Nothobranchius furzeri: one gene and its partner. The protein of the gene in region 1 interacts with the protein of each later gene in a pairwise test. Links are inferred from orthologs where the notes say so. Each region holds a gene or a part of one and is shown on either strand. Other genes may lie near its edges. The genes, in order: cnot1 and cnot4a.

Region 1 (3,926 bases):
TTACACAGCCAGATAACCTCTCATACTCAGGCTTTTTAATTGTTTCCAGATTTGACCATCCTACAGAAGATACAGGACTGCCAACATCCTCATCCAGAATTTTTTTTCCTATTTCTGTCATTAACTTTCCAGAATGTACTCCATTATGGATTTTTATGGCATTCTAAAATGTATACAATAGAATAAAATGATGCAAATATATGCCAAGTAATACTTTCTTTTAACAATCCTAAAAAGCTGTCATAATCTGATTTGACCCTCCCACTATCTTTATGGGTGACCCTGTGAGGAAAGTTGACAATTGAGCAGGATTGATGGTATATCCCTTGAGGTCCACGTGGCAGGGGTGAGGTGGTGCTCACTCCCCAACCCTGCCACATGGACCCAAGGGATAAACCATCAACCCAGCTCAATGGTCAACTTTCCTCATGAGGTCACACCCATTAGGACAGTGGGAGGGTTAAATGTTTACACCATTTGGAGTTATGAGGGTTACTTTACAGAAAGTTTGTTGATTTGTTGTTATTGAGAAATATTTATGATTATGTAATTTTCCTAATTAATGCACCAAATAGAGCAGTGCTAATATAGGCTTTAATAAAAACACGTTTTCACTTGTATCTTTGGGTTTAATGTTGCTTCAGTTGCAAAAGTAATGTAACCTGCTTAGAGACAAATTTAAAAAACTATTGTATGCTGTTCTGTTAAGTTATCCAATACATGACTAGATTTGTATTTCTTGGTCCATTTGCTTTTCTTTTATTTTATTTTATTTTTTGAGATGCATGTGTAGCTAAAGACAAAAGACCCTAGGAAGATCAGGGACAACCGTTTTTCCCTAAATAAACCAAAAGCATCGCATTTGATCTCCTATCTGGAATAAAATTCGTTTGGAGCTGTGACAAGCACTCTGCGTGCAGTGCGTGCGAGCGCACGTTACGAGTCGCGCGGATAGCTCGAGTTCTGGACGCGTGAACGCGCCGTGGCGGTGACAGACGCCATTTTATTTTGAAAACCAAACTGAAGTGGAGGCCCAGCAACTCTTCCATTTCATCAAGTTTGTTGCGGGATACTAGAAGGAATGAGGATCTGAAATACTTTGTTGTTGGCATGGTGAGATTAGAAGTGTGTTTTAATCAAATGACCACCGACAAGTATAGAATAGCCAGCGACACAAACGCGGAGTATTCGTTAGCCACTAGCGCTAAGGGACGGGAGGGGTTGTCTAATTGCTGAGAAACAGCTGTGATATTGTTAATCCAAAAAGTAGTATTTCTCCATTTACCAACCTTTACTATGCGATGCAGGCCATTTTACAGAGATGAGATGTCTAAATAGAAGCTGAATGTAGTACTAAATATGTTAAGATTAAGGTTAAATATTTGTTTCGAGTCAATCAGCGTTTGTAACTATGTTAGCAAGTCCACAGAGTAGTCGGAGCCCACTGAAACAAGCTAACGAGGTTGACGCTAAAGCTCGCGACTCAGGACGTATGAAAAAAAAAACACTTCGTAGCGTTTACGCTCACAACAGAAATTGCCTAAACGAATCAACAGTACTCGTTTGCATAGTCAATTGCATCTTGACATGTGTAAAGATTTTCTTGATTGGGTTTCCTGTCTCGTGTTCACCCATTCGAAACAGGCTCGCGCTGCTAATTGATTAGCATTAGCTTGTAGCCTTGAATTAAAGAAATACAAGTGACTGCAGTCATGTTGTAATGGTCCGTGAGATGAAAGTATAAAGTAAAGTAATCGCATGTTTTTACAAGGCATTAGTTTTGAATGTCTAGTTACCGAATTGTCGATAAAAGGTGCTGTTAGTAGCGTTTCTCAGAGTCATGCTGTTGTAAAACGGCTAAAATCATCTTATTGGCCTTTGAATTAATCTCTCTGGAACGTGAATGATTTTTCAAATGTCAAAACGTAGTCACATATAATCAACATATTTGGCCTTTTAAGATTACACCTAAACTCTTTGATATTTGCGATAGTTTAACATAAGAACCGATGACTTGTGCTGTCTTGTTTGTTAAATACTTTAACATTAGTCAGTTCTGTTATTAGAAGCCATTGTTGTCACAGTTTGTTGTTCTGAGCTAATCAGGCTTTAACAGTCCGACCGATATTGGTGTACAGTTAGGCCGTGTTCAAAGTTGTTCCACCTCGATAACTTCACATTGCATTAAGGAAAATCCAACGAATTAACATTTTGAGGGCAGTAAATTAGATTTGTCTTTTTGGGTTTTTCTACCCGGCCTCACAGACTGTCCCAGTAATGCGAGTTAATATCAATTATTGGCCAAAAGTTTTTCACTTTCATGTGTTTCACACGTTTTAATATATTATCTTATTTTTTTTATTTTTTGCAGATGCTGAACTTGATTTTAAACTGAAGGACTTGTCTACTAGCACTGGGTACCACTGAACTGAACACACGTTTGGAAGGCCAACACTTGTCACACCTTTGGGGGGGGGGGGAGCAAAAGTAACCTATCACTGAAGTGACTAAAGGGGAATAATGGTGATTTTGCGCCGTGCTCGGCCGCCTGCTTCCGCCCCAACCAGCAATGAATCTTGACTCGCTCTCGCTGGCTTTGTCTCAAATCAGCTATCTGGTGGACAATTTAACAAAGAAAAACTACCGAGCCAGCCAGCAAGAAATACAACATGTAAGTAGGAGCAACATAAAATTTATTAATTTATTTTTGTTGTTGCAGGAAAAAACTTGTTTCACTTAAAGTTAAAATGGCTGTTTGTTTTTGTTTTAGCCCTAGGCTAATTACCTCTGTAGGTTATATTTGGTTGATGAAAAAGAGCATCCTTGTGAAATTTTATCTTAATGGAGCTCTTTGATGACGGTAAACTGAGATTTTGCTGGTATCAGTTCTACGATGTTCACATTTTCTAAATACAAGATGAAATTCTCAATCATATATTGAGGTCTCCTGTCCCGCGTAGACCTCCAGACAGCTCTTCCCCGAGCTTTTCTCCATTAGAGCTGGAAATCAGATCAGACACTGCACAGGGACTGTGACAGATTCCTTTAGCAGCAGATTTTAAATAAACTTAATGATTGCAGCTTTGAGCAAGTTATGCCCAAGATAAACAGAAGTCCACTGTAGCGCAGGGACTGCCCCATACCCCCTTTATGCCGCCGTCGCCTAATCTTTTATAAAAGGACATGATTGTGCCACTTTACCGCCACGGTCTGACCGCTTATAAAAGACCTTAGGCTACCTGATGCTGCCACAGCGCTGCGGCAAATTGACTGCATTGTTTTGATAAAACGGCTATAGTTGAACAGCATTTGAACAAACTCAGAGGATCTAAAAGAACAGACTTTAGAGTCACTGGACTAAAAAAGGGGTCGTGTTAGATAAGTGATAAAACCCTGGTTTAGTGAAATGGGCCATCAGGATTAGACAAATGACACTACAAAGCAATAAAAATGCAAGTCAAAATGCTGAATTTTTATGTATGAATAGCCTGTCATGGAATAGAAACCCATAACTCCCATTGATGAGACGTGGAGATTTCAATCTCGTTGTCCTCTGAAACCTAAGTGCTCGCATATCGGCATTCTGAGTTCATTGCGTCATTTCTGGCTAACTTATCTTGGAAAAACGAGTTCCGAGGACAACTGGAATGCACCATAAGTCTCCGAGCAACGCCATGTTAACTTCTATGGGAGCCCATGAGGACAAAATGCATTTACTGATTTGTAGTGCCGCTCAATTAATAGAATTTTAATCGCAAGTACGATATGAGTTTTGAACGATTGTTAAAATAAAATTTGCTCTTCCTCTTGCGCTGCTCCGACTTGCAAATCAAGCTCTGCTACCACAATGTTGCTACTTAGTGACTTTTTCTCTATTTCTTACAGCTTTTCAGAGCCCCTTCTTAAATTTTTAATTCAAAAATTAC
Region 2 (3,826 bases), about 22 Mb from region 1:
CCATCTTTTGTGATGCACACTTACACACGGATGCTGAAGTCACATACGGTCTTGCATATTTCTCAGCAGTCAGACACTCCAGCTCCTTTCTCTCAACTCTCTGTGTAAGGCCTCGTTTAAGCCCTCTGGGACCTGACACCCTCCATTACCCTCATTAGTATTTGACTCGAGTCCTGTCCATGTGGTGGCTGTCCATGTTAGGGCTAGTATGGTAGGTACCACACAGTGGCACTGTTAGAGTCTAACCCTAGTGCTCAGGATGTGTGCCATGAGTTCCCACAGCCCCGGCTCCCTGTGGTAAGGCGCTGCTCTACCCTCTGATACAGAGGTTCAGCTAAATTCTCCCTCCAGCCGGATGGGGCCCATGGGGGCCCCTCACTAAAGAGAGCATGAGCCAAGTGGCCTCTGATGCAGGCCATTTGTGTCCCTACCTAACAGGGAGCCCATGCATAGCCTGTGCTCTCAGATTCGGTGGCATCTTCGTTCTCCCTCCAGTCCAATCGGATATATTTTCAGATTATATTGATTTCAGTAAAAGGCTAAGTGCTGACCTCTCTTATCGCTGTCTAACCTTGCTTTAATCACAACATGGCTGTAAGATTTAACCGTTTGTCTTCTCTGAAGGGGGGGTGGGTGGGGGGTACAATGAGAGTCTTTGGGGCAAAGCTTCAAAGAGCAGATTCACAGCTTGCTTTTATTCCTCAAAGACTGATCGCGACTCTCCAACAACACAAAATGTTTTCATGCTTAATCATTAGTTACATTTGTTAAAATTACCTCACTTCTGCTAATTTATTTCATTGCCAGCTTGTGGGGTCAGCTGGAGTCACCGCTGGGCCTCTTTAATGCTATGCTGATTCTTGTGCTCTGGTGACATTAAGCTACACGTTGAATCTCCCGTTTGCTCCCAGTACTAGGTCTAAGGAGTCGTGATGGCAGCAGACAGAAAGTACTGGGAACCAGTGTGCCGCAAACAAAAACCAAACAGGGCTTTAGGGGAGACGCATGGGAGGAGGAAGAGGGGAAAAAAGAAGAAGAAAGCAAATTAGTTATTTAGTTAATTTTTCCCATACTCTGCAGATTGGTGTGTTTTTGCATGGGGGAAAGGAAGCGGGACAACAGGATGAGTGGGTAGAAAGTTGGGAAACAGGTTAATGGATCTGCTCCAGTCTGTGTTCAGTGGCGATCCACGGCGGCGCTCTGTAGTAGCTCTGTGGCGGGCTGTCCTGGGGGTCTGAAGGCGGTCTGGAAGCCTGGTGGAGGGGAGTGGAACTGACTGGCAGGGTTGGCTGTGGGAGGGGGCAGGTAGGGAGCCCAGCCACTGGGGGCTCTGTGGTGGAGAGGGAGGTGGCCATCGAGGAGGCCGCTGTGGAGGGGCTGGGGTGTGGGCACGGCTGAGCTGGCAGGGCCGTCCATCTCTGTAAGAGCCTGCAGCGATTTGAGCCAGTGTGGCGGGTTGTCGTCGTGGAGACAGTCTAAACTGTTGCCTGCCGAGGCCGGGATGCCTGGGGGGGGGAGAGATGGATCATCAGATACAAGCAGTGGCAACGATGCAAAGAAGTTTTCAGTGACTGATACTTTAGAGACTCGGGTCTTTACAGAAGCAGCTGGCTGTAGGTGAGTCCTGGTGGGGTGTGCTTACTTATGACATTATTATTATTATTATTAGCAGTATTATTGTCTGGATGTAAAAAACATGGTCTAAAGCCAGTTTAGGGTGACAGAATTAAATCTTTATGAGTTTTCACAAAAAAGTATGCAACAATATCAGAGATGATGCTGATATGAAGAATATTTCACTGTGAGAAAATAAAGTTTCATCCTGTAACCTCCTGAGACTCTGCGGCCACATGTGAGAACATTGGATTCATGCACTCGTTTTATTCTCTTCAACTTAGACCTATTATTTTAATTTTTTACTTGATATTTAAGTTTTAAAAAGACATTCTTATTTTATTAAACAAGATTTTTTATCCAAGTGATATTTTGTTCACGTCTGAGTCGACTAATCTGCAATAGCTAGAATTTTATTTTTTTAAATCACACCAAAACAAATTAGGGTCTCAAGAGATTAAAGACCAAGTTCACTCGTTGTTTCAACACATTTGCAGTGGTCTCTAGTATAAATGAACGCCTTGTGAGTCAATCTTTGTGGAAAAAAAGCTCTGGTGCTCCTGTTTCAGGAACTAGAAGTGAGCCAGAGCAGAGGTGAGCACAACATTGAAGAATTTGGAGTTTTGTTTCCTGATACTTTGACATCTCGCCTCTGATTGGCTAACAGCAACAAAACTGACTGTTTGCGCTGCAATGTTGATGTTTTACTTACACAAATAACACAAGAAGTTCTGCCATGTGGTGGAGTTGCTAATGCTAATAGTTAGCTTCTACTAGCGAAGATTAGGGATGGGTACCGAATTCGGTACTTTTTAAGGTACCGACCGAATTCCATAGTACCGGCCGAGCACCGATTCACGTCATTTCAAACGGTACCTCGTTTTGGTACCCGTCCATCATAACGAGAACTTGCCAAGACAGCTGCGCATGCGCAAGAGCGTTATGTCGTCGCTCGCTACGAGCGTGTTGTAAACATGGGTAGAAAGAACGCACGCTAAATCTTGGGTCCACTTCACTAAATGTGATGGGTAACTGGGTGATGATGAAACCAGCGACAACGATCTAAGTGAGACATCCTCATCTTAATCTGCTCCGGTAGGTAAATATAATTAGCTTGATATGTTAGCTTCCATTCTGCTAATGGTGCGTTTGCTTTCTCCTCGGAACTCCGAAATTCCGACTAGAAGAACATGAACGCGCTCAAAAGTTTGGCTTCACTTTACTAAATGCGACGGGTGATTGGGTGAAGATGAAACCAGCGACAACGATTTAAGTGTGAGGCATCATCGTTTTAATCCCTCCAGCAGATAAATAAACTGTTTAAGATAACGTTAGCTTGATATGTTAGCTTCCATTGCCACCGTTGTTATCAGCTAATGGTGCGTTCGCTTTCTCCTCGGAAATTCTAACTTCCCAGTAGGAAAAATCAAATGAAAAAAGACGGCAAAAGGAATGAAGATACACAGTAAATTTAGTTCACAGTAAAGATGTTTGCTTCAGTTTAATTATCAACTTATAAAACTACAAGGACGATGTTAAAATACAAACAGTTGAATGTTATTTATCGTGATATTTATCAAATATGGTTATATATTGAGAAAAATATATATCTAATTATAAAAGAGAATTAAAATAATAAACACTCAAAAGTTTCGAATATTGGTACCATTAAGTACCGGTATCGATTCCTAGGTACCGGGAATTAGTACCGAATCGATTCAAATGTCAAAGGTACCCATCCCTAGCCAAGATGTTCTTTGCCTTTTTCTGGGCACTAAACCAACAACAGCCTTCCCCGTCGTAAGCCAAGATGGTAGAGTCCATGAACGTTAAGTGACAGAGTGACGTTTCCTAGAGTTTCACCGCTTATTTTCTATTCAGCAGATTTTGCATGAAATAGGTGTGGAAGGCTTTTCACATTTCACTCAAAGTGACCATCGCATTCTGAAAATGAATTTAAAAAAATGTTTCTAGGTGAACTTGGTCTGTAAATCAGGCTACTTTTGTGTCCTTTTGCTGCTGAAGGACAAAATACCCTGCCAGGCTAATGACCACCTTTAGGAGCTAATATGATTGAGATGAAAAGAGCTAAACTACCTGTGATGATAGCAGGATCCATCCAGCTGGCTGTGCCATCCCAGCTGAGGCTGTGCGACATTCCTGTTGGCCCTACTGACCCGCCAGTGTGGTTAACACTGTTGGAGGATGAGGA

What was found.
Region 2: the proteins of cnot1 (region 1) and cnot4a interact in a two-hybrid assay, tested with the Homo sapiens proteins (3 studies listed by BioGRID and IntAct, with this or other methods). The link is inferred for Nothobranchius furzeri from reciprocal best matches to the Homo sapiens genes CNOT1 and CNOT4.

Annotation. Positions count from the first base shown.
Region 1 is NC_091744.1:81,566,717-81,570,642, forward strand, and holds the start of cnot1 (CCR4-NOT transcription complex subunit 1), read left to right. Parts: upstream 1-976; 5' UTR 977-1,113; intron 1,114-2,371; 5' UTR 2,372-2,569; coding exon 2,570-2,671; intron 2,672-3,926.
Region 2 is NC_091744.1:59,528,701-59,532,526, forward strand, and holds part of cnot4a (CCR4-NOT transcription complex subunit 4), read right to left. Parts: coding exon 3,712-3,826; intron 1,506-3,711; coding exon 1,177-1,505; 3' UTR 1-1,176. UniProt on the Homo sapiens protein: Has E3 ubiquitin ligase activity, promoting ubiquitination and degradation of target proteins. Involved in activation of the JAK/STAT pathway. Catalyzes ubiquitination of methylated RBM15.